Drosophila melanogaster: one gene and its partners. The protein of the gene in region 3 interacts with the protein of the main gene of each other region in a pairwise test. Each region holds a gene or a part of one and is shown on either strand. Other genes may lie near its edges.

What was found.
Region 1: the proteins of fmt (region 3) and Ptp61F interact in a two-hybrid assay, tested with the Drosophila melanogaster proteins (one large-scale study listed by BioGRID).
Region 2: the proteins of fmt (region 3) and Cerk interact in a two-hybrid assay, tested with the Drosophila melanogaster proteins (one large-scale study listed by BioGRID).

The regions. Positions count from the first base shown.
Region 1 is NT_037436.4:1,344,505-1,352,142, forward strand, and holds the start of Ptp61F (protein tyrosine phosphatase 61F), read right to left. Parts: upstream 6,096-7,638; 5' UTR 5,973-6,095; coding exon 5,868-5,972; intron 5,039-5,867; exon of another isoform or gene 4,695-5,038; intron 1,947-4,694; coding exon 1,773-1,946; intron 1,702-1,772; coding exon 1,439-1,701; intron 1,361-1,438; coding exon 994-1,360; intron 658-993; coding exon 122-657; intron 26-121; coding exon 1-25. Other genes in the region: CG9166 (uncharacterized protein), read left to right, coding at 6,682-6,967, 7,025-7,285, 7,349-7,527. UniProt on the Drosophila melanogaster protein: Non-receptor protein tyrosine phosphatase. Required for maintaining dock/dreadlocks in its non-phosphorylated state. Negative regulator of InR/insulin-like receptor signaling through dephosphorylation of tyrosines when recruited by dock/dreadlocks.
Region 2 is NT_033777.3:5,365,185-5,370,193, forward strand, and holds the start of Cerk (ceramide kinase), read right to left. Parts: upstream 3,123-5,009; 5' UTR 2,737-3,122; intron 1-2,736. Other genes in the region: CG31542 (uncharacterized protein), read left to right, coding at 4,408-4,411, 4,471-5,009.
Region 3 is NT_037436.4:6,168,964-6,175,542, forward strand, and holds fmt (fiery mountain), read right to left. Parts: upstream 4,918-6,579; 5' UTR 4,797-4,917; intron 4,574-4,796; 5' UTR 4,474-4,573; coding exon 4,414-4,473; intron 4,348-4,413; coding exon 4,148-4,347; intron 4,094-4,147; coding exon 3,769-4,093; intron 3,708-3,768; coding exon 3,394-3,707; intron 3,332-3,393; coding exon 3,193-3,331; intron 3,138-3,192; coding exon 3,019-3,137; intron 2,959-3,018; coding exon 2,385-2,958; intron 2,330-2,384; coding exon 2,265-2,329; intron 2,207-2,264; coding exon 1,154-2,206; intron 980-1,153; coding exon 838-979; 3' UTR 606-837; downstream 1-605. Other genes in the region: CG7376 (uncharacterized protein), read left to right, coding at 5,332-5,482, 5,535-6,579.

The DNA of each region.
Region 1 (7,638 bases), 4.8 Mb from region 3:
TCGCCGCTTCAGCTCGTTCTCGGGACTGAAAAGTACGAATTTGGAAGGGGATTAGAGGGATTTTTGTTTGACTAGGCGGTTGAAAAATAGATACTGAGCAGATCTAAGACTAGATTCTTACCTGGCTGGGAGCTGGCCTGGAATTGGATCGATGCCGTTCGCCTTGTGCTGCTCGTCGACTGGCACCGCTGGCTTCTCGTTGTTGGCATTAACATCGTCGGCATGTGGCTGTGTTGTCGCGGGCACGTGTCCATTAACTGGATCGGCATCGTGCTCGTTAATGGTCTCGTACTCCTCATCCTCATCGGTGTCGTCCTCGTCATCGTCATCCAGCAAGTAATCCTCATCGCTGTCCGAATCGTTGAAAGCCCTTACGGGTAATGGCGGCAAGGGACGACTGTCGGCCACCTCGGCATCGTGGATCATGTCGTGCTGATTAATGAAGTTGTTCAGGGCGTCCTTGCTCAGCTCTTTGCCGATACTTTCAGCTCCATTAGCCTGGGCCGCGCGCATATTGAGCGAAAGTATACCGCCGGAATTGGGGGCCAGTGGCAGATTAAGCGATTGGACGCGTGGGGGCAATGGCGGCGGCAGCTCATCCAGTGTGTGAGTCTCTGTGTCGTTGCTAATGAGGGGTTCTTCAGCGTCAAGAAAGGTCTGAAGAGAAATCAAATGTTCTAATTAGTCGCGGAAAATAATCAGGGCCTTCACAGAAATCTCTGCAAACCAAAAACAATGGTTTCTTTTTCGCATCAATTAAACAATAATCATTAAGCTGATACTAGATCACATAATAAAAAACAAAACTAAACATAATACAGTTTTCAAAAGTAATCATAATTCCATTAAACAATATGAATTCTAGTAACCATAACCAAGCCCAGAGATTTCTGTGACCCCCCAGAATAAATAGCGATGTGCAATATATACGGCGGTGCTTGGCAGCCCCCAAGTTTGACTCCCAAACGCCGACCGCTGGTCGCGCATACATACGGGATCGTGCAGCTTTTTAATGCCCTCGATGATCGCCTGGTAGGAGAAGTCCAGCTGGTCGGCGGTCTGTATGAGGCCCATGCGGTAGCTGCGCAGCTCGCAGAGCACCTTGGACACATTGCACTCTCCGTACTTGTCGATAAGTACCAGGCAACAGTCCACCAGGCAGAAGGTGCCCGACCGCCCGATTCCGGCACTGCAGTGCACTACGGCTGGACCCACGTCGCGGCTGAGGCAGCCGGAGTCGCGAACCTGCTGCAAGAACTTAAGGAATGCGTTCGGCGAGCTGGGAATGCCAAAGTCCGGCCATGTGGTGTAGTGGAACTGCATCACTTCACGACTCTGCTGCGTTTCGAGATCGGTTAATCTAGAGAAATAGTCAAAGGCAATTAGTCCACATGTACAAATGGTTTGAAGCAGAAGAAGAATAAAGAGTTCTACTCACTTGAACCATCGCCGCACAAAGTTCTGGTAGGTCTCGAGACGGACGAGCTCCACGGTGAGTTTGACGTGGGGCAGTTTCAGGGCCTTGTCGGCTCCCATCTCGTTGGGCCAGTAGAGGTGGCACTTGATCTGTTTCTTCTCCATCAGCTTGTTGAGCATGAGAACTGCTCTGGACTTCTGCTCCCATACCATCAGCCAGAAGTGGCCCACTGTGTCCACCAGCGGTCCTTGGGTCAGGATGTACTGGCGCTCGGCGCGCTCCAGCTAGAAAGGATTGATTGATCGCATTAGGCGTTTAATTAGGGGTGTGTGTATGCATTAAAAACGTGACCCACCTGAACCAGGTTCGCATTGATGTAGTCTACGCTGCCGCGCTTCAAAACAATGCGGGAATGATCGTACGGATTCACATCCCGATAGCGATTCAGGCCGCGGTTCGTGTGGCGTTCCGATTCCGAGGTGCTGAACTGCTTCTCCTTCGCCTCCCGGTCGCAGGTCTCACAAATTTCCTGGAATTCCGAAAAGAGCGATTAGTACAATCGAAACTACCCATAACAACAAAGGTTGAGGTGGTATTAAAATTCGGTCGCTTTACTGACAACTTATCAGTCAATTTGCAGGCGGTAATTCAGGGGATTTTGTGAGATTTGCGCTATTTACCTAAGCGTTCCAGACCCCAGAAGACAACTACTATAGTGTCTTACTGGAAGATCTCTTCTTTCTGGTACAAAATTCGTAAAAAATATAGTTTTCGTGTTACTCAATTATCTAAGACAGTAATAAGACCAAAAGTTCAAACTAATTAAACATTTATGCATGAAATGACCCAACGAATTCTTCGATACAAGAGCAAACAGCAAATAGCAGTGCACAATAGTATTGAATGGCATTGTTAAAACGAATATCAGAGCTTCCTTTTAGAACCATACAAACTGAGAAACTGTAAGGCGCAATTAAGCTTTTTACGATTTGTGTTCCGAGAAAATGAAAACGTTCAGACTCATAATGGTCTGATAATAACTAGTTTTAAAGTGATACATTTGTTTGACTGACTCGCAAACAAATTGTCAAGAAACGAATTGATAAGATCCTGTTAGAAGAATGCTAGAATGTTACAGAAATCGAATTTGTTTTTTTCCATGGGGGTTGCCCCCTTTGCAGTGATTCATCACTTGGCCCAGCGACAAGGGGCTCCTCCGGATTGGCAAACCCTGCGATTGAAGCGATAGTAGATACATGTAAGGGGCATCGGACTGGGAGGGAACCATGCGGCATATGAAAAGCCCACCCAGTCTACATAGCGGGCGTGACTAATTAGCCATGCGATGTTGGTGATGGCGATGGCAAAGCAAGCTGTCGGTAATGGCATTATCTTGGGCATGACCGGTGCGGCATTATCAGCAGTGTGAACGGGGAATTGCTGGCGCAGCTGAAAGTGGCCCCGCCAATTGAACCATCGAATCCGACTACCGAACCGTTAACAAGGTCAATGGCAACCACCTGGCGACGACAAGTGCTCCTTAAACTCGGCTCAAAGCTAATCACATGCATGCGGTGATGAGTAACCATTTAATATGGTTACCCATCAGCTCGCGTTGATTGCAGCTCGAAAATCAGTTGTTAATTGTCAGTTCGTCATGTTTCAACAATGAATCAGCTGCAAATTCTGCAGCTGACCTGTTATGAAATAACTTTAAAGAGTCATATTTTTACGTAATCTCCAAATCTGAGACGGGCTAATGACCGATAAGGAAGCTTTTCAAAGAGCAAAATCTCAATGGCTATCGCTACATTTGATAATTCGTAATTAGAAACGGAAAGAAATCCATGGTTGCACTTAATATTTCTCGAAACTCCTCAACTCAATAGCATTTCTACAATCACCTATTTAAGGTCTGATAATCGACGAGTCACGTGAGAATACGCGCAGATAATTGAGCTGCTTTATTTAAATGTTTGCCAATGATAAAGACTTTCAGTGTACTTATGATGTATAAAGTTGTATTCCTTGTACTATATCAAACTAGATATGATATATAAAATCAACAATCCATCCGGAACTTATGTAAATCCATAGCTTGGATTGGATTCATTCTGATGGAGAAAACAGTTCTTCGGCTCCGTTGAACATTAAGTCTTGGGCCGTTTACCAGCTACATACTGTTTTTTATGCTCGGTGGCTATCCAGGTGACCCTTCTAAACGGAGTGGCGAAATCCAAGCGAAGGCGCGGAAATCTCGGGGGCTTTGGTTTCCAAAGCGTGTCGTGCAAACCGTTTTATGGTTATTATGTTTCTGCTTTACCTTGCAACGCTCGAAGGAAATCGAGAAACAGTAACAAAAACATTGCATGCACGCAGAGCACAATTGCAACGATGGATAAAGACTTCTTGGCCAATACGAATTTGACATACCCTTTCACACACACTATGCGAGTTAACAAGTTTCATATTTCATAAAATCTGGCTTGACTGTTTCCAGAGAAACGAAAAAGAAGACGGTCACCTGTTGATACCAACGACTGGTAAGGACTATAACACCCTCTGGCAGGGTATAGCTGTGGAGGAGCTTCGTCACAGTCCACGGAGGTTGTCATAATGGGACGGAGTGGGTTGGGTGGGATGTTGATGGAACGGATGGATCGAGAAGGCGCTAGGTATGAGCTGATAGGCGGGGAGGGGCGGCGAGTTGAGAAGACCCAGTGTAACGCACTTCGTTCAATGGAAATGATTAAACATAAAGCAAAGCATAGCAAAACAATACGGTCCGAATGCGTCACTGCGTTTTTGGCTACAGTCCAAATCCCCTATGATGGGCTATCATATGGCAAATGTCAAATAAATTGGAAGTTTTAATGATAACCACAAAATTAGTTGTACCGTTTATGTTCACACATATTTGCGATTTATTAATTCTTAGAAGAATGTGTTTTGGAATTTCTATAATAAAGACAGATAAGTGCCTATAATGGATTATAATTTTCTTCAGAAATGTAGTAGCATGCACAGCTAAATGTTATTAAAGTAAAAATTGGGGTAGGTCGGTCTTATTCATAAAGTAATCATCGAAAAATGTGATGTTTTCACATTGATCATAGTTGTTTTTCATTGCAACAAAAATGAGTCAACGTTTACATGCTATGGAACATATAAAATTCAGCGAATTTAGATGAATTTCACGAAAGTAATATTATCAAGCTGAAAACTATTTATGATTTAATGAGAAAATATGATTAAAGAAAGTTTATTGAAATCTCACTTTGGCCTAACAAGATCGTCTTAGTCAAGTTGCACTGTATTTCAGTGGAAATGGCTGGTAGCTATTTTCCAGTCAGTTTCGACGCACAATTGCGGGCTGCCTTCCAGTTAGCTGGAAAATTAGATTATCCTCGACGCGAGCACAAAGGATGACGAACGAGGATGCCGAGGAGCGGGTCCAGAAACGAGATATTTCTACACACGACCATATACTGTGTCATCCTAACTGCGGAGTGGAATTCCGTGAAATCCCAATTCAAGTGAGTGGAAGCGCTGAAAGAGGCACAGAGGAACAGAGGAGGAGGAGTAGCAGCTGAAGACAGTTCGCCGGAACTGGCTATAAAGAACGAGTGGAGGTGGAGGAGGAGAGAAGAAGGGGCAAGGAGAGGATTCCGACTCCAATTCCGACAGGCAACCAGAAGCAGCCCAAAGCGAGACTCAAAAAACCAGACGCATGCCCTTTGTGCCCCTGTGTGCGTGAGCCTCTCTCTCCTGCTCAACGCGAGCGGGTGTGTGTGTGTGTGCGCGCGTTAGAGGAGTTCTTCAGTGGAGAGCACTGTCACCCCTCCACGAATTGTATTTTGTTTTTGGGGGACGGCAATCACAAACACAACGAGCTTCCCAGAAATCGCCTCCAATTTGATTTGGCCAAACGAGAATTCGCGGAATAGCTCAAGCGCTCTATTGATAGTCAAAGGAAAGCGTTTTTGGGGAAAGGTATGGCAGAATAACAAGCATAAATATGCCAAATACAGGCCAATACACACGCACGAACTCACACACACACGCGTTCGATGGAGAATGCAAAGTAAAGTGCAGCAGGTGTGCGTGTATGTGTGTTGGTGCTATTCTGTTTGTACATTCTTTTCCATGGGTTTTTGTTTTTGGCCAAAGCCTGGCTGTTAAAGCAACAACTGCAACAACAACAGCACTGACACACAATACACACGCACACACGTAAAGCTCGCCGCTGCACTGGTGTTGGTGGTGGAGGCATCTGCAGAAGCCTTTTGCGCACTCATCACATTTTCGTGGAAATCGGAGCGCCAAGGAGCTGTGGAAAGGTGTATACTCCGCATCCGTTGCGAATCCTTGGCGAATCGAACTGTGCCACAATCATTCGTCCAGTTTGTAACCAGTTTTCAGTGCAGTCGCAGTTGTTGTTGCCAATTACCTTGTAGAAGCGATGCCATTGCGGCCCCTTGTCCTTGTACTCCGCCTCGATTTGCAGACGGGCAGCGGCCGCCGACCCACTCCCACTCGTTTTCTGCTCGCTCATTGTGCACACTTTGCTGCGATTTGTTCCGATTTAATAACTTTTAATTTGGTTATCAGGCGGCTGGTTAATTTCAGAGGAGAACTAGAGCTGGACAACTCACGACAGTGTCGATGTATCGAATATTTGAGCTTGCGAAATACTATCGGTATTTGCAGTGCGATACCGAGTGATAGTTCGATTGTACATCACTATATTGATCGCATTACATATTATATTCTCTTATGGTGATTCCTATTTACAAATGCAAGCCAAACACAATATATTGTATCTGCGACATTATTATTCTGAAATATTAGTTACGTCTATCGATATTTTCACCATCAAATAATGTGACCAGGCGCTGTAGAGCAATAGAACACATACTGAAACTAAAGTGCTTGCGCAGAAATTAGAACTTTACTGAAACATAATATAACATTCGGGATAAGTTTTCTATAATTTATATAAAATTAAATACTTAACTAAAGACATAACAATATAAAAACAATTGAAATAAAATATTTTAAATAAAAATAAAATAAAAAAAATAAAATAAAATATTTTAAAAGTAAAATAGAAAAATTCTGATAAGAAAATTGGGTTCAAATACTTTAAAATACCGATATTACAATCGCTCATCGTTGACCAGTGTTATCGAGTAATACCAAAAGTATCGAATCAACAACTGTTACCCAATTTATTAATAACAACAGAAAGAAGCCAAAGCAAAATGCTGACCCGCGTGTTCCGCCTAGTGCACGACAGGCGCCTGAGTGTGCCTGTCCTGCGTTGCTTCCACCACGAGTTCTCCAAGCCGCCACAACAGGCAGCGAAGGGCCAGGAAATCGAAGGCAATCCCGAAAAGACTTTGGTTGCCGGCGTGCAAGACAAGTACAAAATATTCCGCGATGAGGAAGCCACGGAGATTTTTGATGTGGAAGAGGCACGCCACCAGGAGCAGCAACTTCCAGAGCCGGACCTGGAGCTGGATCACTATTACGGCCTCAATTTAAAGCGTAGGTTGGCAATCGTCCAGGGAGAGCAGAAATTTAAGCCTTTGTTTCCCTTTGCAGGAGGTGTTCGCGGAGTGTTCGACGTTGAGGACTTGGTGGAGCTGCTCCGCAAGGAGAATGTGGACGACATATTCGTCTGCTACGTGCCGGAGAACCTGAAGTACGTTGACCACCTGGTGGTTTGCAGTGGTCGCAGTTACCGACACATGCTGTCCACCGCGGAGTTCGTGCGCCGAATGTTCAAGATCAAGCGGGGCAAGGGTGACATATTGCCGCGCATCGAGGGCGATAAGAGCCGGGATTGGATGGCCATGGACTTGGGTGGGTATTGAAATAAATGCATATTCCGGTTTCTCCGCTCTAACACGTTCCGTTTCCTTTTAGGCAACATTGCCCTGCACATATTTTCACCGAGTGCTCGCGAGGAATACGATCTGGAGTCGCTGTGGGCCATTGGCTCCGAATTCGACCGCGAAAGCCAAAAACCCACCAATCCCTATGGCGATATTTTCATGGCTCAAACACCCCTTTCTTTCGTAGACAAATCGAAACTAAAGACGTAAAATAATACATTTCACTATTAATAAAAAAAAACTCTTTAGAGCTGCGTACGTGCGAGATCACTTGCAGTGTGATTTGGAAAAACAATAAGGTATGAATAAATATTTCGTGTC
Region 2 (5,009 bases), on a different chromosome or scaffold from region 3:
GACTCACGCCAACATCTAAGAAGCACATGACAGCAGTAATTATTTAACAAAGCGAAAAAGTCTAGTACATGTAGGTCGATGTGAAGAAGGAAAAGACAGACACATTGCGGAAATGTAAACTAGCGGGTAAATTGATAACCACACAAAAAGTTCGAATGACATGGAGGGGAAATGCTCTAGATATATGTACAGCTGTGTTAAGAAAAATAGCAGTGCTTTGGACTTGAGTGTTTAAGATAAAAAATTCTTATGATTTACAGTTTTAATGGGAAATTTTTTTTTATAATATCATTAGGTATTTAATTTCAAACAATTTAACAAATGTTTCGCTTTTATTTCTTTAATAGTTTCGAAAATATAGATTAAAACAACATAATAGGCAGAAATTCTGGTTTTCAATGAAATAGCAGTGCTATGAAAAAATAGTAACAAAATTCAACTTGACTTAGAACGAACTTAGTCTTTCTTTTTAATATGTTAATTCGGGCCTAATACTTGGCTGGATAGCCTTTGTTAGCCAGCACAGCCTTACACCCACGCGGCATGGAGTCCACCAGGTCCTGGCAACGTTTGGGAGGAATTTTTGCCCATGCATCCTGCACAACTTGCCAAATCTGAGCCTTAGACGTCGGGGACTTCTTCCACACATATTGTTTAATGTCCCCCTACAGGTTTTCAATCGGGCTTAAATCGGAAGATGGTGCTTACCACGGCATTGCATCTATTCCATTTTGGGTGAACCTATTCTTAGCCGATTTGCATCTGCGTTTCGGATCATTATCCTGTTGGAATGTCCATTTTAAGGGCATATTATATTCAGAATATGACAATAAGACATCACTAAGTATATTTACATATGCGTTTTGGTCTATAATACCATAAATCATATGTTATGGACTCATAACCATTGTAAAAAAACAAGCCCATACCAGGATTTTAGGTCCACCGTGATTGAAAGTCTTCAGTGGGTGTTTTGGGTGGTACTCCGTGTTTGGAGGTCGTTAGATATACTGTAGTGAACCACTTCCACCAAATAGCACTATTTTTGACCGATCAGTCTAAAGGATATTACGCCATTTGCAGACTGGCCAGTTTCGGTAGGTTTTAGCGAAGGTAAACCTTGCCTGAATAAGCCTTGGGCTAAGTGGGGGAACCTTTCGTGGACTCCTCGCACTGAAATTTTAACGTCACTGATTCCCAAGTTCAGCTCAGACTTTATGTCCCTAGAGGATGCAAAAGGATAGGCTTTGCTCTAACGAACTGTGCGTCGATCCTCTATCTCTGTGGTTTTACGTTTGGTACCACGGTTTTCGGGCTTCCATTCATATTTAATGGTATTGGATACCATTTTGGCAGCACATTCAAGAGTTTTTTGAATGTCCTTAATGCTTTTCCTTCCTTTCTAAGCTTAAGAATTAACATTCTTTTCTCCTGGGAGCAGTGCTGTCCTCCACCCACTAAAATATAATTTAAAATTTTTTTTTTAATTTTTTGCCCTTTTAAATATACGAATTAACTTAACCAAACTCACTTTTTAGAAAATAATGATCATTTCGGAACTTTACGTTGGTCAAAACCAGGCACTGCTATTCTTATGAACAGCCTAAAAATTGCGATTTTGCTCAAGAATGTAAATAAAAAAAGGATAACAAGAAAAACTAACCGGCTTTTCTTTTTTTTTCCTATCTACACATTCAATTTAACAAAAATAAGTGGAATAAAAAGTCGATTCCGAAAAAGGACATGGAAAAATACCTTTGTATTACTTAGTTTCCTTCGCACTGCTATTTTCTGAACACAGCTGTAGATATGTACGAAATACAAACAAATACGTCAATCTTAAACTCCAGAACTACTGACATTATTAGAATCGTCAACCCCTCCACCATTTATCTCGTTTCACCCTTTTGAGCGTTATTCAATCTTGACCCGCTTTATAGCTGCCAGACATCAGCCCATGTCTGACCTTTTCGACGGTGCACGCACCTCACAGCCAAAATAGCAAAAGCAAAGCTACAAAATATTATAAATAACTTGGGGCAAGTTCCCTTTGACACGTGAGGGGTCATTATTCAGTGCTATAGCGCAGATGGTCTGCTAAGATCAAAGGAAATAGGTACACGAATAGGTTTTCTGCCAATTCCCAGAATACATTGTTATGTTAAAATAAACTATTAGTATATGAGTAAAAATGAAAACAAAGTAGATACTTATTTTTTAGTTGCTATTTACTTGCAATCTATGCTTGGCAGGTCATTAAATTATTATTAATTAAGGTCCCTGAAATCCAATTTAACCCATAGAAGTAGACATTTCTTTCCCAAGGAATAAGTATCGCAGCATCGACATCGATACTTTGCACCACCAAAACAATAACAGTGCACATATACACCGAAGGGTCCCGGTTCGCTTGCTCTAGCCGCAGTGCGTCAGAAGGGTATAGCACCCTGGGAGGGGGGGGGGGGTGGGGTGGTGCAGACAGGGACAGCTGTCATTTCCATACTCCGGGTGCCGTTATCGCAACGCAATACAGCTGTGTAGCACCAACAACTCAGCTGTTGACAAGAACATGTGTGTATACAGGCGTAAGGGTGTGTGCGTGCGTGTGGGGGTATGTGCGTCTGGCTTGAGTTCTCTGCGTTTAATTCCAACTTGGGTGCTCGTGTACCTACTTATTCTCGATCCTAGTCCGTTCTTCCAATTGGAGTGCCAGTGTGAACTGGTTGGGGAACTCACCTGGTGGCCAGGTAGGAACGTTTATCCATACAAACACGGCTGCACTTTCGAAGTCGTTGCGCTGTTTTTCCGTCTGTTTATGGGGAAATCAAGAAAACTCGATACGGATGTGCATTGCAGTTTCGCACACTTGCACTTTTTCGCTTGCACACAAACAAATGCACACACACAATTGGAAAATAGCCGACGTGCAATTGGTGCTAATGGCGTTTCGGCATCTCCCGGTTTCCCGTTTTAGCCACACTTTCCACCCCCTACTCGCTGGAGCACAAAGAATTTACGAGAACACCAGAAATGCACTTCCGTGGCCGTTACAAAAAACACAGGCGGACAAATCGAAGCGAAGTGTACGTCCGCTCGCCAGTGTGACCGTACATATAACTGTGGAAAATACGAGGCAGACCACCTGACTTGATTGAAATACCACATAGTTTGGTCTGGGGTATTCTCAAGTCTGGCGAGAACTAGGGCTACCTTAAAATTAACGGCATCTTCACCCAAAAATAACTGTGCCCGATATTTTTTTTTAAGTTTTCTCACCATTAAATACTACACTACTAATACACTACTCCCCAGGATCAAATCACTCATCCCAGCATCCACATCATCCCAAAACTCTACTGCAGCCGCCAGATAACCAACAACATTAGCTGCGCAGCTTGCAGCAATTGCTCAACGGTCACCAATGACACCGTGTTGGGCGGGAGTCTCCAGCGGGTTACGGTTGGTCCTTGTGTCGATGTGGGGACTCCGGACTTCTTCCAGGTAAAGTAGTTCAGCTATGAGTTCAGTCGGGTTCAAAATTGGTTGGTGGCCAATATAGCCATTTTGTCAATTTGCAGAAGACACAACAACTGCTCAAGGTCATACTCCTAGACTCACGGATAAGATATTCATCCAGGAACCAAAAAAGGAAAAAATAAATTTAAAATGTTAAGAATTATTTTATAATCAATTTTTTTCACTTTTGTTTAAATCCGATTGGCGAAGTGATTGTTACGCGTACATACATTATACATAAATTATCAAGGAATTCTCCTGCATTTAATTTCGAAATTCCTCGGGATTTCCGCTGGAATCTATTTCAATAGGTTGCACTTTAGTAGAATATTACTTTCGTACATTTAATTTTAAAATAGTTTTAAGAGACATCTGATACTAGGTATCTGATAGCCTGGTCATCCTAATTTCGTGTTCGCTTTTGTTATTTTCGTTACTCGAAGAGTGTAAGGTAAATTGAATTATAAGAAAAGTAGGCAAAACTTAGGATAAGCAATAGTTCGGGCATTCGACCAAAGCGTTCTCATGATTTCAGCTTTCTCTTTTTATTATTTGGTAATAGGACATACGACTATACTTTTTTTTTTTTTTTTTTTTGTTAATTCCAAATAAAACTGCAGAAATTTAAACATTAATTGGGCTTAACTAAACCAGTGGAGTCCATAAGTTTATAAGTAATCTAATGGAGTGCTATTGATAATTATTTTCAAACTGTTAATTTATAGATATATTTGGTCATACAAACTTTTTAAAGCGTAAATGAATGCAAAGAACGCAGGGTATACAAAACCCGATTAGAGATCTCGATCCGGAATTGTCAGTTTTGATTTACCAGCTTGTAGGACAGCCTGTAGGGACAATTAATTACACCTAAGCCCTAACTTTCGGAAAATGTGTGAGTATCAAATGGACTGTAGACCGCCACCCGCAGCGCGCTAATCCTTCCGCCAGCAGCGTCTCCGTGTGGCAAGTGCAACAACTGTCCCTGCGGCACCAGCGGCGGAGCCCCACCCCCCCAGCAGCCGCCCCACAGGCCACCCCCCTCGTACGCCCACCAGCCGCAGCAGCAGCCGGACAGCTGTCCCTATCCGGGTCCGCGGGGCCAGGGAGCAGGCGGGTGCCAGGTCAACTCGACGCAGCCGCCGGGCGATCCCGCCGCATGCAGCCTCTACCAGAGCCGGGGAGCCCCCACCGTGGAGTGCACGTGCACTCAGAACCGTAGCCGGCCACCTCCGCCATCCGTTCAGGCGGACCACATCACGTGCAGCCGGGGTCCGCGGGAGCAGCCGCCTGCCCTGGAGACCCGCTGCACCTGTCGCGAGAAGCCCGCCAAGACGGAGTGCCACTGCGCCCCGCCGGTGGCCCCGCCTCCCAACCAACAGCAGCAGCAGGCGATGGCCCAGCCCACCTACGCCAACGTGACCTGTGGCCAGAACGTGCCCAGAGGACCGCAACCCTATCGCCCGCACCACGGCAACCAGAGTCAGAACCCG
Region 3 (6,579 bases):
GTATTTTGGCATTGCTTTTGCTTTCGATTTCAAAATACATACAATAAATACAAGTCTCCAATTTAACAATACAAGTATAAGTGCGGAGTTGTCCATATATTACGTCACCACTAATTGGAGGGGATTCCCCACAATAGGAGGACGATAACGTACGACTTTGCGATAACGTAATTTACTGACAGCTCCAAAAGTGTATATATATATATATATATATATATATATGTATATACATACATATATCATATGAATAGATAGATAATCCTCATCTGATCGAGCTAAAACGAATACAATACAAATATAAACTAAGCATTCTAAACGTTGCGTGAATTTTGGTACTTTAAGTAATGCTCATAGGTTGCCTAACACATTGAGAGTATTGAAAGTAAAAGCGTACTAAATCGACAGACTAATACATATTACAAACAAAATACAGTTTTCTTAATTAGGAAACATGAAGAAAGTGTAATAATTAAAATAATTGGCAATACGAGCGAGGAGCAGAAGGAATCAACAATACACTTTTTACTGTGAATATTTTTTTTTAGCTTTTTGATATTTTTTTGATGCTATTTTTTTTTTTTTTTTTTTTTTTTTTTTTTTTTTTTGTTTGATAATTTGCATTTTGGTTTTGGGCGGGTTTCGGCCTTTTGCTAATACACAAATCTTTTGTTGTACTATGCAGCCTGTTATATATGTACGTATAGTAGTAGTATGTGGTATATATTTATATAAATATGTATGCATGATAATGACCAAAGAGCAAATCAAAGGCGTTTTTACAATTTCTCGTCGACACAATATCGCTTGAATGATGTATGGTGTGGTGAGGAAGTGCATTTATGTGGTCGTAGTTGCAATTTCAACATTGTTCGTCTTGGCGGCAGCGGCCAATTTCTGCTGCTCCGTTGTGATGTTGGCTTCGTGGCCATCCACGTTGTTACTGCTGATATCGTTGGCATGATTGCTGAAAGGTAAACCCCTGGTTTTAATTACAAGTGCAATGTATTTAAGTAATAAATGGTAAAACAAAAAATTGAGCTACAAACCAATACATTGCATAGGTGTAAACTTGTTTGGCATTTTAAATAGATTAAAAGTATAAACATTTCATATATACATATTTACATACCCACGTGCAAAAGGGTTAACTTACAATTCATTCACTTTGCTGTCTGGTCCATTTGAAATGGGAGTAATTTGCTCGGTCTCCGAAGGACGATCCGCACCCAGTGGCTTGGTCCACATTCCCTCATCGTCCTCATAATCATCCTCGCCGTCCAGCAGTACGGATTGCAATCGAGTAACAATTGCTGCAGTCTCCACCACGCTCGACTCGGCCAGCTTATCGCTGATGGCCTTCTCCACGTTGGCATTATTGTCGTACTCAGCCTGCTGATCGTCGGTACACGCTAGATTATCCTGAACGCCCTTGCCCACAGCGAGGCCAATAGATTCAGCGGGTTGGCGCTCCTCTTCTGGGTTCACCTGTGTGGCGGATTCCGGCGCTGGGGAAGAGTCCTCCTCTTCCTCTTCACCTGGCGGCGCACTTATGGGCATACCAAGATCGCTGCCAAATGTGCTAAAGTGCGCATCGAAATCAGCAAAGTTATCCGAATTGAAATCCGTGCCCCAGTTGGCAGTGCCCGTGTTAACCTGCGTAGGCGCGCTGGAAAGCACGGCAAACTGGATGTCCCAAGGGTCAGCCAAGTTGTTCAGCGTGTTCGAATTTTTGGTGAACATGCCGTGCCCGTGGCCATCACCACCGCCTGAATGGTCGCCATGCTCATCATCGTCATCATCTTCGTCGTCAATGTTTCGACCAAACTGGAACCGATTCTGATCTATGGCAAAGAAGATGTCTTGCAACGTGTTATTCAGCTCACTACAATCCACTTCTCTGTACGGCAGATTACCAACGTTCCACGCATTTATCTCGCCAGTATAGTCATTGGATCCATCATTGTACTGATTCTCCTCGTGAGGATTGCAGTCGGCCAGGAGCTTGGTCTGCTGTTTAACCGCCAGCGAAAACTCGCCAGTTTCCGCATCGATCAACGATTGCCACAGCTTAACCTCATCTTCATCACTTAGGCTGCTGGTGATCAGATCACCGATATGTTCAGATTCTGATATACAATTCGTAATGTGACGAAGAATTTTAATAAGGTGGCCCATATAGCCCAAACGTCGACCCTTCTCAGCAGATCTAAAAAAAGAACATTTGTTATGTGCCAGACTGATAATTAGTCAATTGAAGTACTTACTGCGCCTGCGCATTGTGCTGCCACAAGTCGACCAGTTTGGATATCAGATGACAGTTTACAATTAACTGCAAATCAGCGAGAATTAAGTTTAGTTGGGTACAAAAGTCAACTAAGACTTACATGTGATTGCATTTCAGAAGGCGGAGGGCTCGGAACGGTCTTGGTCTTGTCGAGATCATTGAGCGTTGCCTCCGATTCTTGCTGATCTGTTGGAGATTCACCATCCACCTCACTATTTTTCACTTCATTATCCTGGGCTTTGGGTTCGGCGTCCTCAGAAGCTGTTGCTTCAGCTGCGGCTTCCACTTGGCTCATATGTTCTTCATGCTCTTGGTTTTCTTCTGCGGCTGTCTGTCGCTCATCGGGCGTCTGGGCAGCCACTTCCTGCGCAGCTGCCACTTCGATTTCGATGTCGCCCCCTTCCTCATCCTTGCCACCTTCCGCGCGCTTCGCATCGTTAAGAGCGTTCTTCATCTCGACTTCGGACTCCTCCGTGCCCACCTTCAAAAAGGCATTGATCAGGCAGTCTGCAGTGAAGTAATCCGTGACCTCCGTGGATGCAGTGTTGTTGTTGGACAGCTCGTTGTAAAAGACCACGTACAGTGCCTTCTCCATTTCTGTGTGCAGGAAGTTGTTCCAGCAGTACTGCTTGAAAAAGTCCAGCAACAGGCTGAAGTACTCAGTCGCGCAGATTCTAAAGTATAAAAAGTTATTATTTATTAAAAGTTCTCCTTTCTATAAAGCAGTGACTTACGCCTGCTGAATAGTCTCATGCTTGGTCTCCAGCAGAGCGGTGAACACGCGACAAACTTGCAGTCGAGTCTTTCCAAATGGGGGCGTTAACACGGCGGCCGTGGTTTCTAGTGTGGGTTTCTACAAGTCAAAAGATAAACAGCTGGTTCTTTGTGACAAAAAGTTTCATGCTAACCGCAGGCGGGTTTTTCAGTATGTGGACAAATTCCTGGAGGCGTGGCGCCATCACAGTGATCACAGTCTCCTGGACTTCCTGGTGGATTTCGCGTTCGCGCTTTTGCAACAACCGCTGGCGATCCGAGTTGGGCTCATCTCTACAGGAAAAAATGTAAATCAATTAGAATAAGGTGACAAATTCACTGGCAGCATAACTTACGTGAAGGTAATTGGCTTGATTAGCGTAAGTACAACCGATATTCCTGATAAGATGGCGCTCTCCTGAGCGTTTGGTTCCAAAATCACATTTAACAAGGCTTCAATTGTGTCCGCAAATTCGATCGTCTTCAGAATGGGGTTGGATCCATCGAAGGCCGGCTCAAACGAATCGTTCTCCTGCTCGGTCTGGCGCATTAGACGCCCTTGGTTAATAAGATCACAGAAAAAGTCGGCAACATTTGCATGTTTGTCGGTTTCTTGAGGATTACGCAATATTGCAATCAGTCTCTCAACAATTTTATCTTCAGTTAGCCACTGTTAAAAGAAATATTCGATAAGATTCGTATGCCTAGGCAAAACTCTCTAATGGACTTACTTCGAAAAGGTTCCGCTTAAGTCGCCCACCCTCGATGTCCTTCATCATCTGCATTATTAGATCAGGTATGACCGGTGTGTCAAAGTGTTTACAAATGAAATCCAAAAAGGTCTTCTGCGATTTAATATACTCCAGGAGTTGTAGGCACATGTGTTGATACAAAAACCAATCTTGTTCAGGCTTTTTGGTAAAGAGCATGCTAAACGTTTTGCTAAAAAACGACGATAGCAATGGATTTAACGGTGGTTCCTTTTCCAGATATGAATACAGCAGCTGCAGCGTCTCCGCGTCGTTCAGTAGCTTCTCATCCAGGGACGGCAGGCCGCTAAAATGGCATGGGCTATAGAATTCTGGATGGCAACGGGCATTCAATTCTTACAGTGTGAGTATCTCACAGGACATGTTGGCATAGCGGAAACGCTTCGACATGGGCACATCTTCAGAGGGCTCGGTCGTGATCAGCTCCACCAGACGCCGTATGACCTCGGGACGTGTAAAGTAGTTGACCAGGTTCTTCTTTTGCGTCTTGCACTCCTGCAGTATGTCCTCCTCGTCCAGAAATTCCTCCAGTGTGGAGTTCTGCGAATGGCGACGACGCGTAACTGAGACATTTCCACTTGATCAGCACGGATCGAGTCAACCTACCTCCTTCTCGAGCAGCGCCTCTATATTCGCGGAGGGCGCATAACCCTTGTCCCAAAACATTTTTCGCACGTACGTCTTGGCGGTGACACTTTCAGTCTGGGGGAAACAAGATCAATCTTCGCTGGACTCGCGGAACGCTGATGACTTGGCATGCACGGCTCTGCGGGACGGGATTGGAGATTTGGATAAGCGGAATAGCGCAATTAATACACTGAACACAGACTAGACTCAGCTCAACACTCGGCTCTCACAAAGTAATGCGTAAATTTTTGTAATTATGCCAAGCAGGCTCCACATATACACTACGAATGCGGGTCGAAAAATGGTTGTATGCCGGTCGTTTGAGATTGCAAGGGTTGCGGGATGCTTGGGCGCACACTTACGAGTTGGCTGGACTTTGTTTTGCTCACTGTTTGTTGCACTTTTGATTGGTTTTCAACCGAAAAAACCACGCTATAATTTTCTTCACTGCTTCGTAGAGGTGGACAATATTCGATTACAGGGTATATTAACTCAGTGTGATATATGCGGCCGATCGACCGTGTCCTCACACAATCGGTTATCGATTGTCATTTTTCAACTTGTTCACACGATAACCGCTGCACATATTGTAGAAACTAAACTACATACAATTATGTTTTATGATTTAAATACAGTTCTTTATTATAAATATATTTCTTTAATTGGTTTTCTTTTTAAATGGTTTTCTTTCTTTTCATTTTTGCCTGAGTTGCTATTTGATAACTTACCGAAAATGTTTTGCTTTCTAGAGAACATAAAGATTCCCCTGTTGCAATCGTTAAATTTAAGCTGTGGAGGTGTGTCATTTGGTGTCCGATATAGATTTTTCTGTTATCGTATATCGAATTGGCGGTCATCGCACATTTGTTTGTCCGAATTGTTATTTCGCAAATAACAATGGATGGCGTTGTTTTGTGCGAAATTGCTGATGAAGTACCTCCAGAAAGTCCCGAGGATCCAACGGAGTTCCGCTACGGAAAGAAGCGATGGGTGTTCAAAGATAATCTCGTTGAGCATAAAGAGGAGATTTTGATTTGTATTGAAAAATGTGTGTAGGCTAACGTACTATAATTGCACTTATTAATAAGAAAATATTTCAGGCCAGAATGCTCGGACGAGAAAGCTGAAGTTCAGATCCATTCGGCAGGAGTCGGGCTCCTGCATCCTGGTGCTAAGCCATGAACAGACGCATGTTCGAGCACGTGAGATCGAGATGGAAGTGGGAGAACAAGTTCTGCCCCTTTTCTTTAAAGACTTCAGAGGCAGTCTCGAGTTCGAGGTGGCCCAGCAGGAGAAGGAGCACAAGCGTCCCTTAAAAACATATGTAACCACCAAGTTGTACGACGCCCTCTACGAAAAGCACCGCCAGACCGTTCATGTTGAACAGGAACGTTCGCTAGACCTGCCGAAAAGATTTCAATCTCAGCTACGCAAGTACCAGCAGCGCACAGTATCTTGGATGCTGGGGCGGGAGCAGCAGATAACTCAAGTGCCGGCCAACTTCATAGTGCTCCATGCCATTGATGGTATAACTCGCGTCTTTAAGCATAAATACTGCTTACAATTTTATCCTTTCGAGGAGGAGATTCCCAAAATCTCGTTGCCGCCGGGTGGCATTCTGGCCGACGAGATGGGCCTGGGCAAGACCGTGGAGTTCCTGGCCATGCTGCTGATGAATCCGCGCCCACAAGACTCCTACCGAAACGATTACTGGCACCAACGCCTCGAGGAGTTTTCCGATGAAGTGCCATTAAAGCGGTCACGTATAAGTAAAAAAGACGAGGTTTTCTGCATCTGCACCAAGAAACACGGTAAACGAGTGCAGTGCACCAAATGCCGTCGGTGGCAACACGAAATGTGCATGACTATTTCAGAAAAATCAGACTTACCCCACCTGTGTCCCAGCTGCTGGTCCGAATTGGTAAAGTCTGGCGAAAGGCTTGTTGAGAGCGGCGCTACCATCATTGTATCTCCGAACGCCATCAAGATGCAGTGGTTCGAAGAGATACACAAGCATATATCGCCATCGCTTAAGGTGCTCCTTTATTTCGGCCTACACTCAACCTTCTGGGTTAGTCCTTTCGATCTGGCCCAGTACGATGTCGTCCTTACCGACTATACGATTCTGCGTAACGAAATATACCA